Linked DNA regions of Rattus norvegicus. The protein of the gene in region 3 interacts with the protein of the main gene of each other region in a pairwise test. Links are inferred from orthologs where the notes say so. Each region holds a gene or a part of one and is shown on either strand. Other genes may lie near its edges. The genes, in order: Snrnp25, Smad3 and Cpsf7.

Region 1 (10,254 bases), on a different chromosome or scaffold from region 3:
ATCCCAGGGCTCTAAAACTGAAGCAAGAGGGTGACAAGTTCCAAGCCATCCCGGGTCACCCATCTTAAAAAACAAAGCAAGGGTCTGAGGCTGTCGCTTCGCTGCTGAGTCTTGGCCAGCATGCCTGAGGCCCTGCTGCAATCCTTGGCGCCATATAACACAGACGTGGGCCACGCTTACAGCCCCAGAACTCAGGAGGCAGGAGCGAGCTTCAGGTCAGCCCAGGGTAGAGATCCTGTCTCAAAAACACAGAAACAAAAATCACCATCCTCCAGAGAAATAAAGCAGAATCTAGAGTCTCGGAAATATCAGTCATTCCTAATTTTCAAGATAAAAGCAAGATTATTAGATATAGAAAAGAAGAAAAAAGAGTCGAACATTTGTTGATGAATGCCTTTAATCCCACGGCTTGGAAGACAGAAGCAGACAGATCCCTGTGAATTCGAGGCCAGCCTGGTCTACAGAGTGAGCTCCAGGACTGCCAACGCTACAGAGAAACCCTGTAGTCCTGCATGAGGAGCCAGAGTCAGGAGGCTCACAGATGCATTATTATAATTCTCCTCCACATAGTGACCAGCCCGGGCTACATGAGACCCTGTCCCAAAAATCAGAAAGAAGGAAACGGCTGAGACGATAAGAGGAATCTATCATACTCAAAGCACTAACTGCAACAGATCTTCGTGTTGTAAACCCTCAGAGTCCTGATGTAAACCTTCCTCGAGGCCTGCACTCTGTGTTATTTTTACTAATTATTACTATTGTCGGTAGTTTGTTGCTTCTTGACACCTCAGTATGTAGAATGAGCAAAGCCGTCTGGGCTCTCAGTTCGTTGGCCGAGTGGATGTGCATCTCTGTGCAGTTTCCCATGGTTCAGCACCTAATACACAATGGGGGTTTCATGTCAGAGAGGTGATACGTCCTTCTGGATCACCCAGTGGCCCCTGAGGGACAGAGCCAATAGAACACATTCATAGTCAATGGGGTTACAGAGTGAGAATTTTGGCTTTTTAAAAACACAGAAGTAGGGGTTGGGGATTTAGCTCAGTGGTAGAGCACTTGCCTAGCAAGCGCAAGGCCCTGGGTTCGGTCCCCAGCTCCGAAAAAAAGAAAAGAAAAAAAAAAACAAAACAAAACACAGAAGTACGGGCTGGAGAGATGGCTCAGCAGTTAAGAGTACTGCCTGCCCTTCAGAGGTCCTGAGTTCAATTCCCAGCACCCACACAACCATCTATAGTGAGATCTTGGGCCCTCTTCTGGCATACAGGTGTACATGCATTAAATTAAATAAATTAATACATTAAATACATTGAATTATCTCATACATTAATTTTTTTAATCTAAAAAAAAAAAGACCCCAGAAGGCGTGGGGGAGGGGCTACTTCAGATTCTCCAGCAGCTGATGGTGATTTGCCTCCTACTCAGACAGGGGCTGTGGCTTTGCCAGCTGCAGATGGTTTCTGCGAGTGTGTGACATCTGGAATTCTGGGGACTTTTCAGAGGGTTTATAAATGCCAGGGCCCTGGTAGAGGGAATTCTGGTTGGCTGGTTTGTGGTTTTATGCTGTTGGTCACGTTCTGTTGCAGTTTGTCAAGTAGTTATGTGCGAAGAGAGAAAAAGGAGAAAGTGGATGTCCTGATGAGGAAGATCAAACTTGCCCCCAAAGAACTGGAAGCCCCTAGTCAGCAGGACGTAATCTAACAATATCGACAAGAAAAATGTCACAGACAAGAGATAAATCATGCTTACTTAGGCCCACATTAATCTATACCTTAGATTTTCTGTTTATTTTGTTTTGAGACAGGGTTTCCCCCAGGTAACCCTGCTCCTCTTACTTTCTTCTTTATCTCTGCTTGTGGACTTTAAACCATTTCTCCTGCCTCAGTCTCCCCAAGTGCTAGGATTAGAGGCACACAACAGGTTTGGCACGGGAGTTAGAGTTAGAGTTTTAAATAGGGTAACTATCATTGAGAGAGAGAGAGAGAGAGAGAGAGAGAGAGAGAGAGAGAGAGAGAGAGAGAGGAAGAAGAAGAAGGAGGAGGGAGGAGGAAGAGGGGGAGTGAGATGGGGGAGAGAAGGGAAGGGAGTGGCGGGAGGGAGAGGAGGAGGGGAAGGAGAAGAAGGGGGAAGGGGAAGGAGGCAGCACTGGCTGCTGCTCTTCCAGAGGACCCAGTTCAATTCCTAGTATTCACAAGATGGTTCACAAGTGTCCATAACTCCAGTTCTGGGGTATCTGACACCCCCTTTTGACCTCTGGGACTATTGCACACCCATCATGCCCAGAAGGAATACATGCAGATAAAACACCCATACACAGAAGATTTAAAAAGTGAGACAAGTGGCTAAAGTAGCTATCCAGGGAAACGTGACGGGGGCAAAACAAAAGCCCTCAGTGCTGACTCCACAGCGTCCTCATAACAACAGTTGTTGCAGTGACTGGTGGTGTAAAAAGAGCAATAGGAAGAACACGAGGACTGTAGATCATGGCACCTCCGCCCTGGACAGCTCCAAGGACCACAGGTCCCGCCTAGATTTTTTTTTTGTTTTGTTTTTGTTTTTAGACCGGGTTTCTCTGTAGCCCCGGCTTTCCTATACAGACCTAGCTCTCGACTCAGATAGAGATCCACCTGCCTCTGCTTCTGCCTCTGCCTCCTGACTGCCAAGATTAAAGGTGAGCGCCACCACGCCAAGGCTCCACCTCACTTTTTATTCTTATTATCTTTTTGTTTTGTTTTTGAGACAGGGTTTCTCTGTATAGCCCTGGCTGTTCTGGAACTCACTTTGTAGACAAGGCTGGCCTCGAACTCAGAGATCCACCTGCCTCTGCCTCCCAAGCGCTGGGATTAAAGGCGTGTGCCACCACTCTCTGGCGACTCCACCATGACCGGCTTCCTAAGGTGGACCTTTCAAGCCACTTTTTGGAATGGAGCCGGAGGTAGAATCTCGGTCGATTGCGACCTGGCTGGCAAAGGCAGCGCCCAGGCTGCAGGAGGCGCCCACCTCCCAGCGTCACTTTGTAGAGTGATGCTGTACACGGGCACGGGTGTCTTGCGCAAAACGGGGTCCGGGCATCTTGTGCGAAACGATAGCAGTGCTGGCCTTCCTTAACGACCATTCCGTAGAGAAGAGCAGTCTGGCCATAGCTCAACCCCGGAGGACCATAGCTCAACCCCGGAGGACCAGACTGCTCGTAGCTCCTCGGCCGCTCGCACCGTGCAACGTGACCTACTCTATCCGGCCAATAACCTGCTGTCTGCTGGCTCCCCTTCCCTGAACTCGCACATTTCATTGGTTACGGAAGCCACGCAGTGAACCAATGGCTGAGCTATCTCGTCTGGGCGGAGCACAGTTACTGCGCACGCGCCTTTTGCCTTCCTACCTAGAAGGCAAGGCCGCCTGGAGGAGCGCCGGAAAAGCAACAGACTGGCGGCCCTGGAGAATCCGGAGACTGAGGTTCGACCAGAGGTGCCTGAGGACGACGAGGATGACGAGGAGACATTGCCCCATTCCGAGGCTGTGGACGTGTTCCAAGAAGGTCTCGCTATGGTGGTGCAAGACCCGCTGCTCTGCGACCTTCCGATCCAGGTGCACAACCGGGCTCGGGGGTGTGGACGGGCACTGGTGGTCCCGCCAGCGAAAGACGCTTCTGCGCGTAAGCGTAAAGCTTAGGGTGAGGAACCCCAAAACACTCCCTCTTAGCCGTGAAGTTTGAATTAAACAAACACTAAGATTTTAACTCAATTATCAGTGAGTGTGACTAGCCTTTAACTTGCCTGAAACTTTTTTTTTTCCTCTTTTCTTTTTTTTTCGGAGCTGGGGACCGACCCCAGGGCCTTGCGCTTGCTAGGCAAGCGCTCTACCACTGAGCTAAATCCCCAACCCTTGCCTGAAACTTCTAATATGCGTGGCTTAGTAGTTATTTAATGTAATTTTTAACCTTGCCAATCAATGGTGTCCTTATTTAGCGTCTCTGTGCTCACAGAACTAGGGGCCAAACCTAGAGCCTTTCGAATGCTAAATAAATACTCTACCACTGAGTTACACAACTTTATTTGTACTTCCCTCGGTGTTTTATTAAAACATCTCTTGAACTGGCTGGACCTTTAATCTCAGCCCAAGAGGCCGAAACAAGGGGATCTCTGTGCGTTTGAGGTCAGCCCGATCCATTTAGAGCTCCAGACCAGCCAAGGTAACCTAGTGGGTCCCTGCCTCAAAACAAAAAGCGTTTTTGTTATCACAAGGTTTTGGTAGTTGGTCAGTTGCGCCCTGCCCTGCCTCAACATGGTCCTGAGGCACAGGCTGGAGCCTCTTGACACAGTACTCTCAGAATCGCTGGGCCCAGTGTTAGTTGAAACTCCTAACACACAGTAGGCAAGCTTGGTTTCCTTTGTTGATGGGGTGTTAAACGAATTGGCATATTCACCTCCCTAGGTTACTTTAGAAGAGGTCAACTCCCAGATCGCACTGGAATATGGCCAGGCGATGACTGTCCGTGTGTGCAAGATGGATGGAGAGGTAATGCGTAAGTACCAGTGTCTTAGTCACTTTCTTTTGCTAGAAAGAGACACTGTGATCAAGGGAACTTATAAAAGAAAATGCTGTCCCCACAGCTTATGGTCGCAGAGAGCTGCAGTCCTAACCGTCACGGCAGAGGGCATGGCAGCAGGCAGACAGCAGGCAGGCAAACGTGGTCCTGGAGCAGTAACTCAAGAGTTTACATCCTGATCCATAGGCATGGGACAGAAGGAGAGTTAATTGCAGTGGTGTGGGCTTCTGAAACCTCAAAGCTTACCCCCAGTGACACACCTCCCCCAACAAGGTCACACCTCCCCTAACAAGACCACGCCCCCAACAATGCCACGCCTCCTAACCCTTCCCAAACAGTTCCACTGGAAAGCAAACATTCAAATATTTGAGTCTGTGGGGGTCATTCTCATTCAAGCCACAACCATACTTCTCTCTTTGAGCCTGGGCTTTCACATCAGCAAGGAATTAGACGAGAGCTAGTCAGTGAGAAACTCAGACCATGTCTGGGTGTGCGTGTGCTGGGACAGTCACCCTGACCAACAGAGCAGAGCCCTGGATTTCTCTTCCATCACCCGGGGCTCTGTGTGTGGCCACCCACATGGATGTTCTCCCATGTTTCCATGGTTACAGCTGTGGTCGTTGTACAGAATGCCACAGTCCTGGACCTGAAGAAGGCTATCCAGAGATACGTGCAGCTCAAGCAGGAGAGGGAAGGAGGTGTTCAGCACATAAGCTGGTGAGTGGGGCAGAAATGCCTTCCCTGTGCCCACTCCTGGGCTTGCAAGGGCACTCTGTAAGGAGACAACTTTCAGCTTTTCATGTGTGTACCACCCAGTGCCCCACTACCAATGATGCGGTGACAGTCCCATATCACGAGAGCTTTCTCATGTCAAAGTGGGGTGATTATGTCTGAGAGTCCTGCCCCAGTGGTCCCTTCACAACATGCCCTTTCACTGACATGGCCCTACCCATGGATAGTGTCACTTGGAGATACCTGACACTCTTTTTTTTTTTTTTTTAAGATTTATTTATTATATATAAGTACACTGTAACTGTCTTCAGACACACCAGAAGAGGGTGTCATATCCCATTACAGATGGTTGTGAGCCACCATGTGGTTGCTGGGTGAACTCAGGACCTCTGGAAGAGCGGTCAGTGCTCTTAACCACTGAGCCATCTCTCCAGCCCGACACCTGACACCTTAATGTCTCCCTAGTTAACAGATGGTATATACCTACCTGTCAGCGGCCCCCTTCCCTCCTCACCAGGGTGCTGTTGGCTCTGACTATTCTATCAGATCAAGTATCCCATTATCTGAAATCCCTCAGTATAGTCTGTCACCTTTTTGTTAGTAAGATGTGTCCGGCGCCTTCTGCAACTGCCTTGGGCCTATGTCATGCAGGGAAAGTGTCCAGAAGGAGAATGTAGTTATCCCAATGCCCTGGGCTATGTGCTGCCAGCCTCTGTCATCCCAGCCGCTCAGTCTACCCACCCAGAGGATTGGGGGGTGGCACATGCATCACCTACGTCCTTCTTGCAGGTCCTATGTGTGGCGGACGTACCATCTGACCTCAGCTGGGGAGAAGCTCACAGAGGACAGGAAGAAGCTCAGAGAGTAAGTCTGTAGGTCTGTGGGATGGTGCCCTGTGCCCCAGCAAATTGCAGTGGTAAGAGGGTCCCTGGCTGGATTGACTGTCCTGTGGGCATTTCCTTGAGACCTCCCATGAAATTCGGGGCAGAGAAACAGCCCTGCTGTTCTCACAGCAGCTGGTGTTGGGGGTGGAAGAACAATATGGCTGCCCTTACTCGATTATTCCTGATCCCTCCTAAGCCCAGGTGAGCCTTCTGGAGGTCAGCCACTACCCTTCCGTCTTTTTCCAGCTATGGCATCCGGAACCGAGATGAGGTTTCCTTTATCAAGAAGCTTAGGCAAAAGTGAACACCAGACACATGGAGCTGACCTTCCCCAGCAAGATGGCGCCCTTTGCTTGTCCTCAGGGGAAAGGGTGTTGGTGTAGCTGCATCCCTGGAGTGCCCAGGTGGAATGTGGGAAATTCCTCTGCCCTTTATTTCCCTTTGAACTTGGCCCGAGGGTCCTATGTGGTTGTGGGCCTGGACTACAGAATAAATATGTTTGCTTTGTATCTTGTAAAAACCAGAAAGCCGTAGTATCTGTGTGGGTGAGCTGGATCTGTCCCATACCAGAGGGAGGTGAGGGCAGAGGTGGCTGGTACTGGGGAGCAGTAAAGTCTCAGGGGCTGCACCTAAGCCCTGGGACCGCACTGCTCACCTCTCTCACTACGGCCTCTCAGCAAGGAGGAAATATACATCGAGCAGCTGTTTCTGCTGCGGGGAAACGGGAGCCTGCAACCCCAGGGCCTGTGGTGACGGTGGCCGCAAACCTCCACCCGCAGGTTCCCGATAGCAGTTTTTCTCCCAGCCTCCGTGGAAAGAGACAGCATGACAAGGAATGAGTTACAGGGGTAGAAGATGCTCCCCACTGTGGGGACACAGCAGGACACCCCAAGATCCATGTTCCAACACTGGCTACCAGCCATCCTACGAGACCTCACAGAGAGGTGAGAGCCAGTGATGTCTTCGACTTAGAACACTGGTTCTCAACCTTCCAAACACTGCGGCCCTTTAATTCAGTTCCTCATGTTGCAGTGACTGCCCCCCAACCCATGAAGTTATTTTGTTGCTACTTCATAACTAATTTTGCTACTCTCTTGAATCGGAACATAAATATTCAGAGATAGAAGTTTGCCAGAGGGGTCATGCCCCACAGGTTGAGAACCACTGACTTGTCGAACTGTATGTCCAAGGCCATCCCCCATGACCCCAGCCAGAGATCAGGAAAGAGTGGCAACCCCGGTCACGTTAGTGGCAGCTAAAACGCTCCCAGTCCATTTATTGACCACCTGAGGTGGTTGTCAAGGGGGGTGGGGGGAGTAGTTAGAAGGTTATCATGGGGACTCGGATGATAATGTCCAGCAGTGTGAGGGTTCAACGGGAGCTCGAGGCACGAGAGGTCAGTGTTCAGGAAGCACCCGTCTGTTCGGCCACAGGAGGCCGGGGTGGCCTGGGGTGTCCACCGCTGGTTCAATGGAGCTGAGCATCCAGCTCGTACTTCTCACAGAACTTGTCTGTGAAGGGGATGCAGGTGAGGAACTCACACCATTCACAGCGCACTGGGTAGAAATAGAAGAGGACCACCAGGCCGGCCAGCAGGCCCAGGAAGACGGCCTGGAAGATGATGATCTGGCAACGCTTGCGGTACAGGTCGAACTTGCCAAAGCTGATGTAAGGCAGGAAGGCAAAGGAAAGGAAGAGGCCGCTGACGAAACCTGAGATGTGGGCGAAGTTGTCGATCCAGGGCAGCAGCCCAAAGGCAAAGAGGAAGAGCACCACGGCCAGGAGCTTGAAGAAGGCACGCCAGGGTCGGGCCAGGATCTGCCAGCTCTGGAATAGCTCCACAAAGAGACAGGCCAGGATACCAAACTGGGAGCCGGCCGGACCTACCTGATGTTGGGGGATGGGAGCCGTAAGCCACTGAGGCTGCACCAGCCCACCCCCACTGCAGAAGCTCATCTTCCTATCCCACCTCTCAGAGTGTACTTGATCTCCGACACAGATGGGGCCATGCTAGACACAGGCACACCTATAGAGGGTCCCCACCCTGAGAAGCATCTTACCTCTGCCCGGTACGGCAGAAAGATGGCGCTGGCTAGATTGCCCGTGACACCGCTCAGCAGGTAGATGATGGCTATGCGGTGCCAGCCTGCCAGCTTCTCCAGGTCCCGCAGGACCGTCATCTGGAAGCAGACGGACACCAAACAGTGCAGGATCCTGTGGGCAGTGAGGGGCACTCAGCAGAGAAGGCGGCTTCCCTTTTGCCTCCAGTCCCACTACTCCTAGGGCATGAGACCACCAGCCCAGCCCCCAGTCCCACTTGCCCAGCGTGCAGGAAGAGGGACAGCCACAGGCGGTAGAACTGGTCAGGCACCTCGGGATTGAGGAAAGGCAGGAGGCCACAGACATCGTCCATGCAGTGCACCTGTGCAGAGGGGCTGGTCAGCCTCCACAGTGGGCGGGGGCGGAGAGGGGCGTGCCCTCAAGGCCTACCTGAGAGCAGAGTGTGGCCTCCTCATGGAAGTAGCCCTTCATGAAGTCACAGTACTCCCGGGAGGTGATCTCACACCTAGAGGGTCACGCCAGGGTTTGGAGGGCGCCCAGCCTGGCAGATGGAGGCTGCTGAGGTCTACGGACGCCTGCCCACTACTCGGGAGGATCTCAGACCCACCCGCCTCCACTGGCCCAGTCTTACTCCTTGTGACTGGGAATCGGGTTATGTCGGGCTTTTATGAGGGAGAAAAGTGCTGCTCTGAGCCAGCTACACGGGAGCACCCACCTGCCCTTGGTGCCGATGCAGCAGGGCCTGCCCGTTATGACACAGTCCATGTGAGGGTGGTTAGTGTGGTTCCCCGCGCTGTTTTTGGTGCAGATCTGGGTAAGAAAGAAAAACAAGAGCCAGGGTCACTTCACACACTCACACACAGAGAGAGAGAGAGAGAGAGAGAGAGAGAGAGAGAGAGAGAGGGGCGGGGGAGGGGAAGGGCACGCCTTTTGGCCTAACCCTTATTGGGAACCGAGACAAAGGTAAGACTCAGATAGAAACCAGGCCTCCGTTGAGTCAAGTAGGTCACACCCAGAGCCCGGGCTGAGCCTTCTGCAAACCAGAATAACGCTCTTTGACCTCTCGTGCCTTCACCTAGTTCCCTTGCCCTGACTCCTTGCTCACAGAGGCAAGCCTTGCCCGACAGGCTGGGCAGAGGCTAGGGCAGTGTGAAGATGCGGGTGTGCCCTCCCCCATTCAGCAATTCGAAGACCCCAGCTCACCGGCCACTTGGTGATATCTTCTGGCCACTCGTGGGGATCCTCAGAGGAAGGCTCATCACACACCCTGCACGAGCCCAAATGGTTAGAGTCTTTGTCCTCAATGATGCCACCCTCCTCACCCAAACAACGAATCCTCTACACCAATGCCACGGGCATTGTAAGAGGGGAATTAGGAGCACTCACCTGGGGTCCTGGTGGCAGACAGAACCAAACTGCCTCTTGTTGCCTGCCAGGTCGGGAGCACTAGGATGAACCGGCCACTTCACCCACACTGCCAACGTAGACTGTAGGGACAGGGGGTCAGCCCCAGTCAGATCCTACCGTCTGCTCAGTTAGCAACAGTCAGGAATCAAAGGCAAGGCCCCGGAACTAACTCCTGGCTCCACACAGCTATTAAGTTAAACTTCAGAAACATGTGGGGAATATTACAAGGTGCCCTAGGGCATAACCGAGGTATAGAGACAGCCTCCGTCCTGAACTAGAAAAGGGACATCAACTATGGTGCCAAAGATGGACCAGTCTTTTACATTTTTCTTTTTTTTTTTAAAGATTTATTTATTATACTTATTATATAGAAGTACACTGTAGCTGTCTTCAGACACCAGAAGAGGGCATCAGATCTCATTACAGATGGTTGTGAGCCACCATGTGGTTGCTGGGATTTGAACTCAGGACCTCTGGAAGAGCAGTCAATGCTCTTAACCACTGAACCATCTCTCCAGCCCCATGCATTTTTCTTTCTTGTTTCCTTTTGGAACCATGAAATGCAGCCCAGGCTGGCCTGGAACTGAACCATCCTCCTACTTCGGCTCCCTAATGACTAGGCTTACA
Region 2 (10,342 bases), on a different chromosome or scaffold from region 3:
TGATTTTTGGAGATAGGGTCTCATGGAACCCAGGCTGCTCTGGAACATTCTCTATGGTAGCCAAGGTTGGTCTTCTGTTCCTCTTGCCTTCAACCACCCTAGTGTTGGCATTATAGCCATGAGTGACCATGTCTAGTTTATTTGGGGCTTGGTGCATGCTAGATAAGCACTCTGCCAATTGAGCTGCATCTCCAGTTCATGACTACGGAGACCTTAGATATGACCTCATCCTTGAAATCTGAAAGCCTCACGCAGAGCCTTGGTCCCCTGGCTGTGCTTCTTACGATGTCATGGAAAAAAATTCCTCAGTGCATACATCCTAGGGAAGCATTTAGACAGGCATTTAATATCATTTTCACTGAGTTCACCTTATGTGAGAGATCTTGACCTCAGAACTAGGTGAAGCTGGAAGTCATAGGCACTGTCTTTTTTTTTTTTTTTTTTTTCTTTTTTTCGGAGCTGGGGACCGAACCCAGGGCCTTGCGCTTGCTAGGCAAGCGCTCTACCGCTGAGCTAAATCCCCAACCCCAGGCACTGTCTTTTGAACAGCCATAAAAAATTAGCATTTTTACTAATGCTGTATGCAGAACATAACACCTTCCCCTTGCCAAGACCGACCAAAGAATTTGGCTAACCATACTCTTCCTAACACAAGTATAGATCTCGGAATTTATTCTTTCTGTTTCGCTTTAATTTTCCTTTCCATTTAACTACCTTCAAACATCTATTCTACTGGGTCTAGTATGTTTTTTTTAAACTTTAATTCCTATCTATTGTTATTTAGTAAAGATACATTAGACATATCTACTTTAAATATTTTATGTGGTTGAGTGTTTTTGGCCTTTCTCTAAGTACACTACATATATGCAGTGCCTACAGAGGCCAGAAGAGGGCACTGGATTTCCTAAGGCTGGAGTTCCAGTTGTGAGCTGTTATGTGGGTGCTGGCAACAGGAATGGGGTCCCCTGCAAGAACAGCCCATGCTCTTAGCTGCTGAGCCATCATGCCAGCCCCCTTTACCCATTTTAAGTGTACAATTCTGGGTATGGCCTATGCGTACGCTGTTGAAGAACCCTCACCGCCGTCCATCTTCAGAAGTCTCTTCCTGGTTCGAAGCTCCATGCCCAGTAAGTAACTCACAGTACTTCCTGGTCCCTCAGCTCCAGGCAGATACCTCCTGCTTTCTGTGTCTACAAATGTGAACCGCATGGTGTTAGTCATTTTGTGATTAGCTTATTGCACTTGGCATAGAGTTTGCCAGGCCTCTCTCTGTCACAGCACAAATCGGTACGTCTTTTTAAAGCTGGGTACTATTCCACTGTGCATGCAGACCACGCTGTCACTCACAGTCGTTGGTAGGGTTTCCAGCTTTGGGTACTGTGAAATAATGTTGCTATGGATACTGGTGCACACATACTATCTTCGGACTCCTGCTTTCATTGTGTGTGTGTGTGTGTGTGTGTGTGTGTGTGTGTGTGTGGCCAGAAGTGGAATTGTTGGGTCCTATAGTAATTCTACATTTAATTGTTTTGGGTAATTATTATACCATTCTCCACAAAGGCAACACTTTTTTTTTTATTTTAATATTCTTCATGGCAATGGGCACATGGTCCAATTCCTTCATAGTCAAACCGTCTCATTTTCCGCTTTAAAAAAAAAAAAAAAAGAGCCCAATAGGTGTGTAGCAGTTTGCTGTGTGTTATCTTTATATATTACATACATAGCATTGTACTACTAATTTATTGATTTTACTTGGGACAGTGGCTTTATTTAAAGTGAAAATTACATTTACTTATTTGTGCATGTGCACTCCTTTATGGGAGGCAGATGTGTGCCATAGCCTGCATGTGGAGGTCAGAGGGTTCTCAGCTGGACGTGGAGCTCCATGTTGAACCCAGGTTTTTTTGGGTTCTAGGAGGGCCACCTTGGGCACAGACTACAAAAATCTGCTAGAAAAGGCCTGCAGACCGAGGTCCTCTAATGACAATCCCAGCCCTGCGTGTCTACCTGCCTTTACCAGGCGTCACCCCTCTGTGTGGGATGTGAGCAGAACCCTTTCTTTCTCAATTCACCACCTGATGATTAAATATCGTAACTCTGGCCAGGTGTGACTGCTCATTTCTTTGCACGATTCCTCTGGGAACCACACCTCACACACTTTAGCACGTGGTATCTTAGGCTCTGACCTGACTGTGTTCTCTATTCCTAGGGAGACACAGCTGCCTCCACCCACGATCCTGAACTTTGCTCTCACCAGGATGAAAAATTAACCGGACTCATGTTTCCCTCCCAAGGACAAGGACAAAGTCTGTACAGCAGGTCTGGCTGGGTCCTAGGAGACCAGGTGCCAGCTGAAGTTCTAACCAATCCTGAGCCACCTACCTATTCACTGCCCAATGTAGAGGGGTCTATTCCTCCCCCATGGGAAACTGGCCCTGTGATGACACTTTCAGTTTTCTTGCAAGCCAGTGGTCCTTATTCCATGGATGCTGACATGGGAGGGGAGGTTCAGAAGTCTTTCAGTCACACCAGTGGGTCTGCCCGGTTATTTCCTCCCCTAAGGGAAATGAAGGGGTGGATGGTGGTCCCTTCTGGTTCTCAATGATGTAAAGGTTCTTCCAAGCTACTGACTCTGCTCCTCCCTTCTCTCCTCAGGGTCCCTCCTTTCCTCTGTGGTACATACAGCTTCCCTCAGACATGGCTTCACCTGTGGGTGAGGTCTTGTCCTGGAGAACAATCTAAGTGTTTCTAATATTCTTTCCAGATTCACCATGCTGTACAGGTAAGAGACTAGAGGCTCAGCAACGTGGAGGACCTGGGCACCTCAGACTCCACCTTGTTGCCTTACTTGGTTTTAGGTTCAGGTTAGAAATATTTTTTGTTGTTGATTTTCTTTTTCTCTTCTCTCTCTTTTTTTTCTCTCTCTTTTTTTAAAATGTTATTTATTTATATGAGTACACTGTAGCTGTCTTCAGACACACCAGAAGAGGGCATCGGTTCCCATTACAGATGGTTATGAACCACCATGTGGTTGCTGGGAACTGAACTCAGGACCTCTGGAGGAGCAGTCAGTGCTCTTAGGTATCTCTGCATAGCTCTGGCTGTCCTGGAACTCACTTTGTAGATGGGATTGGCCTTGAACTCAGAGAACTGCCTGCCTCTGCCTCCCAAGTGCTGGGATTAAAGGTGTGCCACCACTGCCTGGCTAACATTTACTTTTTACTGGAAGATGATTACATAGGCCCCTTTCTGTTCTTCTCTGACCACCTAGCACACCTTCATCCCTGTCCCTTGGTGCTTCTCTGGCTGTGGACTCCTCATGGTTAAGGCTCTTCCTTGTTCACTGCAAATTTCTCAACAAGCAGCATACTTGTGGCTGGAGAAGTGCTGGAGAAGCAGGATTTGAACCATCTCTCCCGGCTATCCTTATTCAGGAATGGGATCAACACTGGTCTCCACTCCTGTCTTGTACTGGACTTCTGCAAAGTCCCGACACCTAGGAGGCAGAGAGCAAAGGGCTATCGTAGTTATGATGCGCCTGTGAGGAAAGCTTTTGCTTTGCAAATTGGGTCATAGCCCCTATACAGCTCTAGGGCCAGTTGGAAGACCTCAAAACCAAACCCAAACAAAAACCTGGGTTTAAATCCTGGCTCTGACCCTTGGGGCTGTGTCTCCCAGGACTTTAAAGGCAGTAGTTGGTGTATCTGTGTGAACATAGCAATTAAGACTGCCCACTTTAATGCCAGTATTTGGAGGCAGAGACAGGCAGATCTGAGACCAGCTTTACAGCACAAGTTCCAGGACAGCTAGAGATACAGTGAAACCCTGTCTTGAAAAAAAAACAAAACAAAACAAAACAAAACAAAGACCTCCTTCCTTATAGTCTCTAGCATCGAGTGGGAAGCTACAGCCACCATCTAATTGGTTTGCAAGGACCGGCCTATCTACTGAGCCTCAGGGGTCTTCCTTTCAGAACTCGGTATCAGGGAGGTGGGAGGAGAAAAACCACAACCCCTGACAAGCTGCGGCTGGCGGTTGGTGGTGGGGCAGCCTCAGGGACAGAGCAGGGGGCCCCTGAAGCTTCTGGGCTGACTTTGTGGGACTGGCCACACTTCATAGGGCTTTGTAACTCGCACCGGATCTTGGTTTGCAAATAACTTGTTTCTCACCACGGGAGGGGTGTGTGTGTGTGTGTGTGTGTGTGTTCGTGCGTGCGTGTGCAAAAACAAGCATAGTCTTTAGGAGCTGAGGGCCTGCTGTAACACCTCAAATCAGTAGAGGGACCGGTGGGTAACCAGCCCTGCATTCGCCCAGTCTGCGGTAAAGCCCTAGAGCTACCCCAAGTCAGGTTCTCTTGGCTTCCCACCTAGGCTAACTTTGAATAAACTTCCTAAGTCCTCCAGGCTTGCTCTATACTTTGTGTGTGTGCTCGCGCGCGCGAGTTCACTGATTTGTAAACAAAAGCTCTCTTACTTGTTTGGTGTTGAATTTCGGATCTTCAGTAACACCCTGTAATGTTAATTCTCCCCCTCCCCCAAAGAAAAATCCTAAAGCGCCCGCATTCATTCCTTCAGGAACGCAACAGATGTCTTTGAGGCTCCTTTTCTGTAAAGAGCTTGGTTCACTGGTCCCAAAGGACCCCTGGCTCCAGCTATTGTTCAAGTTGTCACTGAGGTCTCGTAACTCCCCTTTTAAGTCTCCCTCTCCCGTTTTCCAACTCCCTCCTCAGTAGTCTCAGGCAGTCAGCCGTTCTGATCTCACCCAGCAGGAAAACAAAAACAAAACAAAAAACACCTAAAGCAGCCCCGGCCACTGAGCGAGATCAGCGCGCCTCAACTTCCTGGGCCCCGAGCTTTTTCTGAACCCCTCGCCGCGCCCGGGTCCTCTCCCAGGTGCAGCCAGCCCTTGGCGGACCGTGCCTGTTCCCTGCGAGTCTAATCCTCTCTAGTCCTTGCAACTACATCTGAACGTCTTGGGGGCAGCGAGTCCCCAGGAGTCGGGTCCCGCGGCACTTGGCAGAGCTGACGGCCGCCGTGCCCGGTGGCCCACGTGGGCGCGCTTGGCGGAGCTGGGCGGGGAAGGCCGCGGGTCCTCCCCGGAGCAGGGCGCGGGGGAGGAGCGGGGAGCCCCGGCAGCGAGGGGGCGGCGACTGCGTTGGGAAGGAGGCTGCACGCGGAGCTGCGTGAAACGTAGACTTGGGAGCGGGCGGGAGAGGAGCGGGGAGCACGGCTGCACGGCCCTGGCCGGTCCTGCAAGGCGGCGATCGCAGGGGGAGGAGCAGCAGCGCTGCAGAGGCGGAGGGATCTGCGCACCAAAGCCATCCAGGCCAGCAAAGTTTGGCTGGGGGTTGGACTTTCCTTCTCGGAGGCGGCACCCAAACAGCTACCCCGTGCGGAAACCCAAACTTTCTACTGGCACTCGGAGTCTCGCGGCCGCCGCCTCCGCCCCGCGCGTCCCGGGCCTGTCCGTCAGTCCGTCGGTCCGCGTGGAGCCGCTCGGGCGCCGCCGTGTTCCGGATCCCCGCAACTGCAGTGCCGCTATCCTGGCCGGGACGCCTGGGCAAGTTCTCCAGAGTTAAAAGCGAAGTTCGGGCGCGGCGCAGGCCGAGCTGCCTCTGTGCGCCCCCGGCGTCCCCAGTGCGTCCAGCCCCGCCGGGGGCGCCGGTGACCCTTCCGTGCCAGCCATGTCGTCCATCCTGCCCTTCACCCCCCCGATCGTGAAGCGCCTGCTGGGCTGGAAGAAGGGCGAGCAGAACGGGCAGGAGGAGAAGTGGTGCGAGAAGGCGGTCAAGAGCTTGGTGAAGAAGCTCAAGAAGACGGGGCAGTTGGACGAGCTGGAGAAGGCCATCACCACGCAGAACGTGAACACCAAGTGCATTACCATCCCCAGGTGGGGTCCCAGAGCGGCGAGGGGTGGGGGGACGCGCCGGCCCAGCCCCCTAGCGCGGCCCGGTTGGATAAGGAGGGAGGGTGGGAGGGTGTGTGTGTGTGTGTGTGTGTGTGTGTGTGTGTGTGTGTGTGTGTGTGTGTGTTGGATAAGGAGGGAGGGTGGGAGGGTGTGTGTGTGTGTGTGTGTGTGTGTGTGTGTGTGTGTGTGTGTGTGTATGTGTGTGTGTTCGCGCGCGCCTGTAGGGGACGGAGAGTGGGTGGAGGGACCCCAAACAAAACCTTCGGATTTGTCCAGGCTCAGAGCCCAGGCTTCCGTGCGGCATTTTGGCTTCTAGACCTTAACGATCGCCAGCTGCCTCTGGGCAGCGGGGATGCTTCTGAGCTTGGCCCCCTAACTCTCGGGGCTTCGGGCTCCAAGTGGAGGCCCCGCTTTGTTCGGCTCTGCCGGCCGAGCCCCTCCTCCTCCGCCGCCTCCCGCCCCGGGCTCCTGGAGGTGGTGGCGTGTGTCCCTTTCTTTTCTTCAGCTCTGTTCCCCCATTTCTTTTCCTCGTCTACAGGAATGCAGTCGGTACAGCTGTGGGTGAGGAGCGGGAGCCCGTTGATTGACAGATTCCTTCTTCGCTCTTTCTTTGCCTTGGGATTAGCATTTTTACTGAGTATTTTTAGATTTGGTTGTGCCAGCCTCCCGCCCCCTGTGCACGCATGCACGCACGCACTTAGTTAGAGAGCAGAGCACCGACTTTGAAGCGGGAGAAACAAGTGGCAGAAAGTAGGGGCTTTCCCTCTTCCCACCCCACCCCTGCTGGTTTGCGATCTTTTAAATCCAGGGTATTCTGGTGCCTAGAATCGAGCAGGCAGCTCCAGGCAGATAACAAAACACCCTAGGGCTGGCCTCCCATCGGCCCTGCATTCCTGTAGAGCCTCTTTTCCCAAAGCGCTTTGCCATCTGTCCTGACCTCCTTTATCCTTCCCATCGGGCTAGAGGAGTCGGGCGGGAGCTCACAGATGGCTGATGGAAGGGGTCAGTGACTTCGCTCCCAAGGCCTTCTAGAGCATAGTCGCGTCTGGGCAATGGGGTGAGAGCACTTTAGTCTTCTGGTTTTGTTTTGTTTTTTCCTTCTCAGACACCTTTAAAGACTGATTCCAGATGAGGGGCAGGTGGGAATGTTTGGGGACGTCCCTGGCTGCAGAGGGATGGGGGGAGGGCTCCCAGGACCTACACTAGTAGAGGTCATCACTGTTCTGGGTCCTGGTAGCTTCCATCCTTGGCCACCTGCTCAAGGCAGCTGTGTATGGGCTGCCAGCCCTGATAGTAAGGCACAAAACAATGTCTGTCCACAGGGACCTAGGGTTGGCCTTCCTTGGAAATAAACACCACATATGGTGGGAATGCCGACTTAAAAAAAAAAAAAGAAACCAAACAAAAATAAAAGTCTTATCAACTCCAAACCTGAGTGGGTGGATCCTACTGAAGAGGGAAGGCTGTGTGTTGTCTGCTCGGCCTCTGAGCCTCTGCCAGCCGGCTTCAGGGGACCTGGTGTGATGTGGTGGTTTTCTCCGGTTTCCCCTTCTCCTTTATCGTTTCGATGGAGCAGGATGGTTGAGTTTCATAGGGCTCTGTCAGATCTGGAGACGCAGCCTTTTCCCAATCTGCCTGGGTGCACCCAGCCCAAGCGCTTTCTGTTCTGAGCCCTCCTCCAGAGCTATCAACTACGAAGCTGCAGAGTGTTTCACAATTTACAAGGCACGAACGTGCCTGGAGGACAACAGAACCGGGACACAGAAAAGGCACGGAGGTCTAGAACGATCTTGCTTTCAAAGTGACAGAACTTAGAGAGGCAAAGCATTCGACTAGATCTGGCGTACCCTTTCTCCCAGGTTGTTTTGTCCGGGGTGGGTAGTAGATCTCTTCTGCCTGCAAGGCTCTTGGTTAATCTTTGGGCTGGGGGCAGCTTGGAGGAGAGGCTGTGCCTTCCTCACCGGCAGGTAAAAGTTAGTGTGGTACTGAGAGTTCAGGCTAATGCCTGTGCTCCCAGCCTCCTAGGACTGGGTACCTTCAGCCTGGGCCTAGGAGGCCAGGTAAGGAAGCGGGGTGTTCATTCGTTGGCTCTTTGGCTGCAACCGATGACCGAACCCAGGGCTTCCTGCATGTTAGGCAAGCCCTCTGCTGCTGACCTACCCTCCCAGGCCTGGGATTCTTTTCTTTCATCTTTTCTCAACTAGTGAGACCCAGTTGCTTGGGTGGATCCAGACAAAGGTGGATTTCCATCCCTGGATTTTGTGCCCACGCCTCTGGGTCACCCTGTCTCCCTTGGCAACAGCTGCTGCTGTTTTGGCCATGGGCAGAAAGCTAAAGGCCACGTCTTGGGGAGGCGACTAGTTGGCTTCCTGCTGGTGCGATCCCTGTGTCTGCTAAGCCCAGGGCTTGTGTGTTGCTTGTCACATTGCTGCCTTTGAGAACTAGGGCTTTGGAAAGCAGACAAAGGAAAGTGTGTGACTTAGTCACCCGCTTCGTGTGGGGCGGGACACTGGGTGCCTTAGTACATTCTGTCAAATCTGGAGCTGGTCTTTGAGGACTCTCTGTCTGAGATGTGAAACAGACATCTTGAGCAGCAGTGGCACCTTTTGGCTATGGTAGCTATCTGCCCCATGCTGGCTTCTTTTTCCCAGCTTTAGGCACATTCAGTGACCAGGGGAACTGGAGTGATACAGGCTTGCTTCCCTTCACAGAGAGGCGGTGTGGGAGTTTCGCTTTACTCCACAGAGCAGTGAGCGGGGCATCTCAGATCTGGCAGGGGTGGGGCAGAGCCATGCCAACAGCCCACTCCCCCCTGCTTGAGCATCTGAGAGGAGACACAGGTGTCTCCCTCTCCAGTTCCTAAAGGAAAGCTGAAGCACCCGCCTTTGAGAGAGACAGGTCAGCGCAGCGGTTAGCCTTCACTGGATCAAGCAGAAGGTCTCTCTGGTTTAGAAGGGATCTTGGTTACAGAGCACCAAGTCCAGAGGGAAAATCAAGAGGTGAAGTAGGTTTTACAGGAAGCACTCCTCCCTCCTTTGTTCACTCCCTTTGTAGTATGACCTCCTCCTGGGGCCTCCAGGGACTTTGTTAGACTACCCTCAACTAGTGGAGAGAGGAAAAGTATCTTTACTTGTAATAGCTTCTGGGGACAGAAATACCAAGGCTGTAGATAATGCCTGATAGGTCTCAGGCCAATCACCGTGGTGTAAACCGTTGGCAACAAGCCTCCTCTTAGCATGTAACCCATCACGACGGAGGTGAGGGTTGGGGGATGGGGAGAGTGTGTGTGTGTGTGTGTGTGTGTGTGTGTGTGTGTAGGCGCTGCAGAACAGCAGATAGCTGACTAGAGGGCTGACCAGAGTCAGTAGTCTCTGGTTGCAGGAACTTTGACCTTTGCTGCTTGGTCCCAGGGCAGAATGTTTGCATCCATATTTTCTGCAGACAGCCTTTTACTCTCAGTTTCTAATCAGGGAATATAGGACTGTTTCTTGTGTACTCAGTGATATTACCCAGACTCATGAGATATGGTCTCTGCCCCGGTGTTATTCGCCCTAGAGAGGGATGCAGAGATATGTTTGAGAAGATGGGGGGTTTTGGAGGTTGGCAGTGCTGTGGGGAAGGTGAGTGTGATACGTGCTTTACCGTGAAGCACAGCAGCAGAATAGCAAACAGTGGCAGCCACCTGCTTTCTCTGGGGAAGATAAATCCTACCCAAGCCCTGGAGTTCAGGTCCCTGCCTGGATTTAAAATCATCTGTACTGTATCACTGTGCTGATTGATTGATTGATTGACTGTGTGCACGTGTGGCTCCAGGAGTGTTTGCAGATGTACTGGGGAGATTGTTTGTACGTGTGTGTGTGTGTGTGTGTGTGTGTGTGTGTGTGTGTGTGTGTGTGTGTTTGCCCTGTGTCCTCGTTCATCACTTTGATGGTGGGACTTATTCACTTATCAAGTGCTTGCTGAGCTGGCAGGAGCTGGGCACCCGCTCTCAAGGAACTCAGCACCAGGACAGAGGTGGAACAGTGCTCTGGGTGGGACCAGCATGTGTGTGTGGGAGGTTGGTGTGTGCTGGATACCTGGTTGGGGTGATGGTCGGAGGAGTTTGGACTGTATGGAGCTCCTGGGAACTTGGCCTTTGGTTTATTACTATTAGTGTATGTTCATTGTACAAACCAGACTTCTTCGTGACATTTTAGAGTCTTGTATTTTGCTCATACTTACCGCCCCTTACACCCTGCTCTCTCATCCGGTGCTGGTTTCCTTATAGTCCCTCTTCTAGTTTCATGTCTTACACATATTTTTAAAAACTCTAGATTCTGCATATGTCAAAAGGCGCACTATGTCTCAATGTGATTTTTGCTTAACATTGTCATCCCCAGTTCTACCCATTCTCCTTGAAACATTTCCCCCACCCTCTGTGCGTGCGTGCGTGCGT
Region 3 (10,340 bases):
TTGCATGCAAATACCTCGTCCAAAGGGTATTGCCTAGCATATGAATATGCTAGGCAAGGTCTCTCTTTACCACTGTACTAGAGCCTTTTTTCTTTTTAAATAAAATTTGAGATAGGGTTTGGCTAAGTTATCAAGACTTGCCTTGAACTGGTGATAATTTTTGCTTTACAGCTGGGGTACAGGACTATACCTTCAGGCTCACTAACATTTTTTTAAAAATAGACTTGAAGATTTTGTCACAGAGAAAGATTCTGAGACCAATCCCCTAAGGATATTAAGGATAACTAGACTTTATACCTCCCACCAAGGCTTTTAAAGAGGAAAAAAATTTCAAATGAAACTTAAAGGCAATAAGGAAATAACAATATTTTATATACTCAAAGTTGGCAAACTAAGATTCCTTTTATGCAGTATCTGTGATTCAAAAATGTATCTGAGAGTTATAAGGCAAAAGTCATCACTGAGAACTGGCTAGTTAAAATAAATAAATAAATAAATAAATAAATAAATAAATAAATAAATAAAAGGGTCAGTGAACCAGTATGAAGACTTCAACTTAGGGAGCAAACACATCAGTAGGAACCTTTTTACACTGTTAGCTTAAAGGCAATCAGTGGGCTCTTTGTAGATTACCACTCAAAAAGAAAATCCAATGAATTTGAATGTTCAAAGTTTCAATGGTCCATCCAAGCCATGGAACCTAAAAAACTAGCAGTAGCTGGACATGGTGGCATAATACCAGTACTTAGGAGGCAAAGGCAGGCAGATCTCTTGAGTTCGAGGCCAGCCTACTTTACAGTGAGTTCCAAGATAACCAGGGCTACAGAAAGGAACCTTGTCTTACCTGACGGGACTATAGAAAAAGATTAAAGAACAACAAACAAAAGACCCAAACCCCACCTATCCCACAAAAGAAGCAAAAATCAAATACACACCCATATTTTATAGGTGGCAATGCTAAAATTTTTGTTAAGTTTAAAATGAAAATATGTATTCAATATTGAATAAATAGTTCAGTAAGAATTTTGTTGTCAAGGATACACACAGAAAACTACGTTATATCATGAAACTTCCTAGTAGGAATTTGATTTTGCCCTCCAATAGGTTCAATGTCCCTACCTCATAGCTCCTTCTCAGTATATGACCCAAGGAAGTAACTAACTTGGATATAGTTTTCTCAGTAAAACCATCGTGACTGTTGGTTACCTTTTCTTTGATTTGTAAAAGGCCACATCAATTTTAGGCCTCATACTCACATCTTCACAGCTCTCAATACCTTCTCCTCCATCACAGTTGCCCATTATTCTGCACTGTTACTGTCTGTTGTTGTGTGTTTTCTGACAGTTTGATATTGTAGCCAAGCTGGCCTCTAACTTGTAGCAGTCCTGCCCAGTCTCCAGGGCACTGGGATTATGGGGATGTATCACCATACCCAGCTAACATCACTTTTACTTTTAACCACCACAAATGGCACCTATTTTCCAGCACAGGGATTCACTCTCTCCCAACACCTCACCACCTCTGGCAGTATTAATCCTACAGGAGTAGTTCAAATCCTCCCTGACAGGAATATTCATAAAGCCCATCTTAGCATGAGAAGGAACAAACAGAAAATTCAGGTGAGTAGCAGTTCTCACTCACCCTTTTAGTTTGCCCTTGTCTAACTGAACAGTATGAATCCCATGGCTCCCAATATAACAGCAATAAAATAACTATGCAAAAGGTTTTTGCAGCACATGCTGCCAGGGTTCAGAAGCAAATACCACAGGGTTCCACATAGTAAATGTACTAATTTTCCTTGGGGACAAAAGTACTCTTGAGGGAGTTATATGCTTGCTCAGAACAAACCAGTAACTGTCCTTTAAGGCATTCAAAAACTCAATTCATACAGGTTAACTTCTATCTAAGCCAATGTTTAACAACTCTACTCAGACTTTTAAACAATTTAGCAGCTTCCAGATTACACTAAAACCAGCTTTGTCAAAAATTAACTTATGAGGATAGGGTACCCCTTTTTCAACTTTTAGAATGTAAAATATTCAATCTGTATTTGCTTCATTTTTTTCCCATATTAACATTGCCTGCTTGGTATAAATGTCTACACATTAATTTTGGCTTTAGATTAGAAAATCCTTTTATAAAAAAGTTAATTAATGAACAAATTACTGAGGGTAATAATGTGTATCTTGACAAAGCAGTGACCACTGGACAAGAACGTCTTGTCTATGACCCCTAATTTATAAACCATTTATTACTTTTTCTTTATATCAAATATGGCCAATGTGTCAACGACTGTCTATTCTCCAAAGTGAATTAGTTGCAGTACCAGTCAACAACATATATTTAGAATTGGGGGTATCTTTCAGTAATACAGAACTAAGAGAGTCTTGTTAAAGAAGAAGCCATAAATTTCAAATGATAAAAGACTGACTCACACAAACACATAAAACCCAGAAAAGCCAGACTAGAGAGAGGGCTCAATAGTTAAGAACACTTTCTGTTGGTCCAGAGGACTTGAGTCTGGTTACTAGAATCCACATCAGGTAGTTCACAACTACTTGTAACACCAGCTCCAGGGAACCCCATACTACTAGGCTCCTTGGGTACCTGCAAACCACTCACATCCACAAAATTTAAAATAAAATAATGGGACATATGAGCTTCTTTTGTTGCCTACCAAAGTCAGGCTATAATCTAGGCAGTCTAGACCATTCTTTCCAGGTCCTTATGTGTACCCTTTGGAATACACCAGAACCAGCTAGCTTAAGAATAACAGTACTAAAAAGAACCCAGGTAAGAAAAAAGTTTTAATGGTATGCACTAATAAGTGGATATTAGCCCAAAAGCTCAGAATACCCAAGATACAATCCACAGACCACATGGAGCTCAAGAAGAAGTACCACCAAAGTGTGGATGTTTCAGTCCTTAGAAGGGGGAACAAAAATATTCATAGGAGTGGATATGGAGACAAAGTTTGGAGCAGAGACTGAAGGAATGGCCATTCAGAGCCTGCCCCACCTGGGGATCCAGTCCATATACATACAGCCACCAACCCAGACAATATTGCTGATGCCAAGAAGTGCATGCTGACAGGAGCCTGATATAGCTGTCTCCTGAGAAGCTCTGCCAGAACATGACAAATACAGAGGAGGATCCTCATAGCCAACCACTGAACTGAGATATGGAGGAATTAGAGGAAGGATTGAAGGAGCTTGCACCCCATAAGAACATTAACAACCAATCAGAATTCCCAGGGACTAAATCACTACCCAAAGAGTCCACATTCCCAGTGTAGGGGAATGTCAGGGAGGCGGGAAGGGGTGGGTGGGTGAGGGAACACCCTCACAGAAGAAGGGAGAAGGGGGATGGGATAGGTGGTTTATGGACAGGAAACTGGGAAAGGGGATAACATTTGAAATGTAAATTTAAAAAATCCAACAAAAAATATAACTAAAATTTAAAAAAGATAAAAGTTTTAAATAGAAACTTTTCGTTGAGCTTTGACCTCAAGATCAAAGAACTCAACCTCATAGATTACTTTTTAAGGTGACATTTAAAATGTAAAAACACAAATTCAAACTAGGATGACCAAATCTTTGACTTGCCTTTAAACTAGTTTTATCCAATGGTTTTTACCTTCCTTCCCATCCATACCAAAATGCCCACAGAATTCTCAGTCAAGCGATTTAAAAAGATTGAAAACACCTGGAGTGGAGCTAGAACTCCCATCTTTAACGCAGTTGATATACCGTCTTTCAAAGTTATCTCTCGTACTGTCTATACCATTGGGAGGGGACAAGAAGGGGGAGGGACTAACATGCTGGAGCCGCAAGCTGAAAGAACTGCAAAGTAACAAGTATCAAAATTATCCCCGCAATACTGCAACAAATGTAATTTTCATTTTTAATTATGGTTACTCATCCAACTTTGGAATGACTTGGGGAAACAATTCCACAGGCTGATTCACCATTCTATTACACTTGGGTTTTTATTTGCTCTTAAAGCAAACCCTTTAAAATTGAAGCCTGGAGGTTCAAATTAACATAAAGAGGAATGGTCAGTCGTCTTCAAAGTCTCCGCTAGGGGGAAACGCTTCGATACTAAAAGGAATTATTTTGTGGTGAGAGAGAAACCACTGTCAGTAGATTTGACCGAAGAAAACCCAAAACTGCTGCTAATTCCTCTCACCTGATTGAACTCTTCATCAGCGTATATATCAATCAAATCCACTCCTTCTGACATGGCTCCGGAAACACGCTCTCGAGCCCGGAGAACGGACAAAGTAAGAAAGATGCCACTACGGTATTCAGAAAAGGGTAAAAAATTTTAAGACACAAGGGTCCCAGGCTGGGAGGAGGGCAAGGGTCAACAACCTCTAGTCTCCCGAGAGGCAGCATCCCGGCAGCCCCGAGCCTGGCCCCACCCGCTCCGCCCCGCCCCCAGCCTCGCGCCGCCCCCTGCTCTCCCAGGCCGCTCGGGCTCGCGGGGCTCGCTGCCCATCACCCGCGGGCCCGACCGGAGATGCGCCGAGTCGGCGCCCGTAGCTGCCTATGGCGCCACTGCCAAGTCCAGGCAGGCCTCGACTCTTGAGAGGGCCCTCGGGCCGCGCTGTGAAGAACCACTGCGACCAACGCCGCAAGCTCAGCCCGTCGCACCTGCTAGACCCAGGGGGCGTCCCAAGCCGGAGCCCCCTGCGGGCCCGGAAGCTCCCGCCGCCTCCACTCCAACCCGGCCCGGTCCTCGCTCTCGGCTAGGCCTGCCCTGCTCCCTCCCACAGCTCCAGGATCTCAGCCCCTCCCTCAGAGGCCCGCGCTTCCCTCCACCCGCCGTCTTCCGCCGCCGCCACCCCAACCGACCCCCTCCCCTCCGCGGCGCCAGCCCCGGCCCTCCTTCCGGCCCCGCCGGCCCCCGGCCGCGCGCCCCCGTTACCGGGAATATGGCGGCGGCCGCGGAGAGTCCCGACTAGGCCCGAAGCGCGCGAACCGCTCTCCGCCCCAGGTCCCGCCCCCCCTACCGGCGGCGTCACACGCACCACTACTTCCGCCATACGCTGGGACGCGCCTTCCGGCTTGGGGTCCACCTCCACGGGTGAAGTCCTTAGATCGGCCGCCCGGAGTTCCCGGAAGAGGGTCGGTTGCTAGCTTCCTGTACTATAGGGAGAAATGGCGGTGGTCACCTTGATCCCGACGCTGGCGCGGGTGAGAGAGCCGAAGATTTAGGGTTCGGGGCGGGCGGCAGCTAGGACTGTTTCGTCCTCCTCTGTGCCGTGAAGACTGTAGGGAGAATTCACCCATCCCACAGAACCAGGGAAAGGTCCCCTCAAGGCGAGGCGCATACTGCCGCTGAGCATGCAGGTCATTTTCCATTGGTTACTTAGCCCACGGTGTGTTCGAGTGAGAATACTGGATACTATGTAGTTAAGTGGCCAGTTACCATACGAGACTCAAGGCATATCTCACTTATGTCTCCAGGAAGAGTTACCGAACCTCCCCCGAAAGCCTCCTTTTTTTTTTTTTTTTTTTTTTTTTTTTTTGGTTCTTTTTTTCGGAGCTGGGGACCGAACCCAGGGTCTTGCGCTTCCTAGGTAAGCGCTCTACCACTGAGCTAAATCCCCAACCCCCGTCTCCCTTTTTTAAAAGCCGGTTTTAATTTGTTACTCAGGCTGGCCTGAAGCTCGCCATTCTGTCTCATCCTGATCTTAAATGTCTGTATGTTTGAGAATTTTCAGGTTTTATTCCAGTAGTGTTGAAAGCTAGTTGATATGGTTTATCTTAAACTTATCGACATGTGAGCTCCTGGGCATATTCATCCGTACATTTGAGAGGAATGTATGCTCTCTTGTGTGGAATGTCTGTATACCTCAGCTAGATATACTTAAATTAGTATTGTTCTGGTTGTCTAATATTGATTCCCCCATCTGGATGTTCTATTCCTTATTAAATTGTGGCATTAAAATCTTTGTTTTCACCCCCTTCAGTTCTGTCAGGGTCTCTTTCATATATTTGAGTGCTCTATTAGGTCCACATGTATTTATGATTTTCATTCTTTCTTGCTAACTCTTTAATATATATAATATTCTTTATCTCATATGACAATTTTGTTGTTGGTGCTAAATGCCAAACCCAGAGCCTTGCATGCTAGGCAATTTCATTTTCTTTCTTTATTCATTTTTTTTAAGTTTAAAAAATATGTATTTATGTTTATGTGCCTTTGTGAGTTATGCCCGTGTGTGTAGGTGGCCATGAAGGCCAGATGAGGGTGTTGGGTTTTCTGGAATTGGAGTTACAGGTGGTTTTAAGTGTGTGTGTACAGGTACCACTGAAGCTAAAGAGGGTGCTAGGTGCCCTAGAGTGGGGGAGGGGGATAGGAAGAGTGGGGGCTGGCCTTGTATAGTTTCAGAGGCTTTCTGAAGCCTTTAAGTTGTTTGCTTCCTGAGCTTAAGGAGCATTCCTGTAGGACGGAATATATTTATTACCGTTCTTTAGAGCATCCTATGTATTGGCTGGGTATAGTAGAATAAGGCAGGAGGGTCTCTGAGTTCAAGACCAGCCTGATCTAGATGTCAAGTTCTAGGTCAGCTAGGGCTTTATAAGAAGGAGGAGGAGGAGGAGAGGAAAAAGGAAGAGGAGGGGGAGAAAAAAAAAGAGGAGGGGGAGGAGGAGGATTTTATCTTGGAGGAAATTGCTACACAACACCTATCATGAATGAAAGCCCTGGGTTTGATCTCTAGCATCACATACCACAGAATGTATGGCATGCGTGCCTATAATTCTAGCACTCTGATGTTGGTGGCGGGAGGATGGGAAGTTTAAGGTCATCCTTGGTTCTTTAGCTGGTTCAGGGCCTGCCCATATGCTAGTATGATCAGAAGGGAGCTTGAGACCAGAGAATCCCTGGAAGTTCATAGGCCAGCTAGGCTGGCACACACAACAAGAACAACAAAGAGACTGTCTCAAAGCAAGGTGGAAAGCAAGAACTGGCACCTGAGGTGTTCCTCTCACCTCTCCACATGCACCTATCTTGCACACATAAAGATGTTGTAAAAGTACATTTTCAAGTGCCTTTTCTTAGAGATGCTGGTCCAGAATGCTTAGGCTGTGTGTGGCTTAGGAGACTGCATTTTTACAGCATACTGTATTCATTTACTGGAGCTGCCTTACAATAGAAATTTATATTCTCAAAGTTATGGAGGCCAGAATTCCAGGACAAAGATGCTAGCACCGTTTTCTCTGGTGGTCTCACTCCATGACTTGCAGATAGCCACTTTTCCATTGTGCCCTCATGTGGCTTTATTTGTACCTTCACATTTCTGACTTACTAGACAATTTATGTCTTAGTCAGTCTGGACTTCTTAGGTTTGTGATACTGTTTTTTTTGGGGGGGCTTCTTGAATTTGAATGTCCACTTCTTTTTTCCCAATTTTGGATGTTTCAGTCATTATTTTGTTTGTCTAAAAAGACAGTGCATGCATATGTGTCTGTCTGTGTTCTGGGGATAGAACTTGGCTCCCTAGGCTTGGCAGCAAGCCCCTTTACCTTCCTCTATCAGTTCATAATCAATAACTCCCTAGTGCCAATGTGATGCTACAGTTTCTTTGTAAACACTCGGGTTGTTCAGTGTTGCCTCCCTCCTTCCTGCTCCCCTGTTTATCAGGTACTGTAGCCCCTCAGCTTCATAGTAGTCCTGCTCTTGCCTCACAAGTGCTTGGATTACAGGCATGAGGCACCATGCCCCAGCTGGTTGCTCTGCTTTCTTATTCTTGGTGGCTATCTGGACTTCTTAGAATATGCTGGCTGTGTTAGTGTTGCAAGTTGTTCAAAATAGAAACCAGCCAGTCCCTTGGGCAATGCCAGCCCCCATGTTCCAGAACATTAACCATACAGTTGACTCTTTCTTGAACCATGGGGAAGAGGCTCCTAAACAATACTAGATTTTATCTTACTTTGTCTGCCTTGGTCCTTTGCATCAAAACTAAACACTCCCTTGGTCTCCATGGTCCCTAGGCATCTGGAATGTGCCATGGCCTGTTGTTGCTCTGAGACGAGAGAGATAAAAACCGTAGGCAACCTTTGAGAAGCTGGAGCTTTAGATGGATACCCCAGCTCTGTATCTCCAGGGAAAAGCTGGGAGTTGTGGGATTTTTGTTTTGGTTTTTTCATTCTTCAGTAAGGCAGGATGGGGACCATGGCAAGTGAATGATGTGGTACAAATCATCACCTTTGTTCGCTACAGCTACAGAAACGTGCCCTTTCCTGTAGCACTTAGATTCAGCCAGAGCAGAAGCTGTTTGAATGATATTCCAGGAGTCTTACCTTTCCCTCTCAGGTAGAGGCCTGGTGCTGGGGCTTTCTCCCATCATCTTGTTCTTTGGGGATTTGGGGGAAGACAGGGCTGTGGCATGTGCAGTCCATAGCCTTTCTTATTGGCTTCAGCGCAGCTGGTTTTGAGCTAATCTGGGGAGCAGGAGCCTGTTGTCCAGACTTCTCACGAGGGAATGGATCTGCGAATTGTTGGTCAGTACTGCCCTTTGCTTGTGCTTTCTAAAGCACTCGCTGTTGCACAGATACTTCCTCTCCTCCCTCATAATTTCCTTGTTCTAAGCCTAACCATAAGGCTAAGATCCCTAAAGTCTTTATGCAGTTAAACAATATTGCTATTGACTTTCTCCAATGCTGTGCTTTCTTAGATGGACTTGGTGGCAAGGAAGTCATCACTTAGTTCTTTTCATTGTCTTAGAGTTATAACCTTAGGTTTGGAGTCTGAAGCTGTCTTTTGCTACTTTGCGGGCTCTTCCCCCCTCATCTGTCTCCTCCCCTCTTCTTCTACCCTTTCAATCCCCTGAAACTAGATAGGAGAGAAAAAAGGATAAAAACACTAGATAGGGGGAAGGGGGTGACATTGTTAGACTACTTCTTACTGATTAGGGATGTCAACTTCCTTGGGGCAAATATGATCTTTACCATCAGAATATCTTCTTCTATTTGTCTTTCCCCTCCTCCTTTGCTTCTCTCCTCCTCCTCCTCCTCCTTCCCCTTCCTCTTCTTCCTCATTTCTTCTTTGTGCATGACTACTTAATAAACCATGACCAAAGACAACCAACCAACCAACCAACCAGCCAGCCAACCACACCTATTGAGGCCCTAGCACATACATATTCTCTGAAGAGTCCCCAAATTCCAAAGGTCACACAGTCGCAGAAACTATGTGCAGCTGGCAAAATCACATCCCTAGTAGAGCATGAGGCAAATCATAGTCAGCTGCTGTGGGCATATCCCATATCCCATATCCCATACCTGGGATTAAAACAACACACTCACATAATATTTCTATGTTTTTCAAAGAAACCAAAATTATCACTACATTTCCCCCTTTGTTTTAAGCCATTAATTATGCTAAGTGTAGCGAGAAATTATAAACAGAGACATTTTCAGTGAATTAGGTGTTTTCAGATTAGTGGCCAAAGTTTTCAGGAGACCTCTTCTGCTTACTTTAAGTTGTGATGTATCCACAGCTTTTTATTTCTGTGAAGACATAAGCAAGCCCCTGTCCTCAACACACAACTTTTGTAGGTCTCTTTTGTGATGTTAACACATCCTTATAGGATATAGACTGATTTAATTCTATAGGTTTTTTTTCTGTAACTTGGTGACTCTTGGCTGCCCCTGTGAAACACCTTGTAGTTTTTGCTGCAGAGTCTTGAGGCAGGCCCCCATAACTGTTATCTGATGATAAGAAGTTGCCTTGGTCTCTCTCTTGGATCTACATTCATCACTCCAATGGTAGCCCTTGCCACATTGCCTGCATACCCAGGAAGCCTAGGCCTTATTTCTGGTTTATATTTAGAAAAACTATTGCTTATATGAGAAAAAAGGATAGAGGGGGAAGGGGGAGACATTATTGCTAAACTACTTCCTACCAATTAGGGGTGTCAAGTTCCTTGGGCAAGTTTGATCTTTGAAGTCAGAGTATCTAATTTCTTGTTGTTGTTTCTTCTTTACACACAGACTACTTAACAAACAGCAACCAACCCTGCCTCTTAGGGCTCTAGCCTTTAATACCCTCTGAAAAGTCTCCAGAATCTGAAGCATCATACACTTAGAGAAATCATAGCTGCTCTAGATAATCTGAAGCAGCCCCATATTCCACATCTGGAATTAAAGTGAAAACATGTTCCCATAATGTTTCTGTGTTTTTTTAAAGAAACAAAATTCTCACTTCAGGAGTCTTTAGGGGATGTAGGTATTCTCGGGATTTAACAGGTGAGTGGATGGAGCACAACTGTGCTGCTGTACAGTTTTAAAGGAATGCAAGAGGAGACAGTGTTTCTGCTGTGGTAATTT

The links.
Region 1: the proteins of Cpsf7 (region 3) and Snrnp25 interact in binary tests that used the Homo sapiens proteins (3 or more experiments, as listed by UniProt). The two-hybrid records come from large-scale screens. The link is inferred for Rattus norvegicus from reciprocal best matches to the Homo sapiens genes CPSF7 and SNRNP25.
Region 2: the proteins of Cpsf7 (region 3) and Smad3 interact in binary tests that used the Homo sapiens proteins (3 or more experiments, as listed by UniProt). The two-hybrid records come from large-scale screens. The link is inferred for Rattus norvegicus from reciprocal best matches to the Homo sapiens genes CPSF7 and SMAD3.

The regions. Positions count from the first base shown.
Region 1 is NC_086028.1:15,921,360-15,931,613, reverse strand, and holds Snrnp25 (U11/U12 small nuclear ribonucleoprotein 25 kDa protein), read left to right. Parts: upstream 1-3,361; 5' UTR 3,362-3,540; coding exon 3,541-3,582; intron 3,583-4,428; coding exon 4,429-4,519; intron 4,520-4,607; coding exon of another isoform or gene 4,608-4,832; exon of another isoform or gene 4,833-5,154; coding exon 5,155-5,260; intron 5,261-6,064; coding exon 6,065-6,139; intron 6,140-6,405; coding exon 6,406-6,463; 3' UTR 6,464-6,682; downstream 6,683-10,254. Other genes in the region: Rhbdf1 (inactive rhomboid protein 1), read right to left, coding at 7,627-8,046, 8,220-8,373, 8,481-8,581, 8,650-8,725, 8,936-9,030, 9,424-9,487, 9,607-9,707.
Region 2 is NC_086026.1:73,127,464-73,137,805, reverse strand, and holds the start of Smad3 (mothers against decapentaplegic homolog 3), read left to right. Parts: upstream 1-5,481; 5' UTR 5,482-5,683; coding exon 5,684-5,889; intron 5,890-10,342. UniProt on the Homo sapiens protein: Receptor-regulated SMAD (R-SMAD) that is an intracellular signal transducer and transcriptional modulator activated by TGF-beta (transforming growth factor) and activin type 1 receptor kinases.
Region 3 is NC_086019.1:216,587,441-216,597,780, reverse strand, and holds the start of Cpsf7 (cleavage and polyadenylation specificity factor subunit 7), read right to left. Parts: upstream 4,992-10,340; 5' UTR 4,930-4,991; exon of another isoform or gene 4,904-4,929; intron 4,794-4,903; exon of another isoform or gene 4,656-4,793; intron 4,323-4,655; exon of another isoform or gene 4,298-4,322; 5' UTR 4,243-4,297; coding exon 4,189-4,242; intron 1-4,188. Other genes in the region: Sdhaf2 (succinate dehydrogenase assembly factor 2, mitochondrial precursor), read left to right, coding at 5,163-5,198.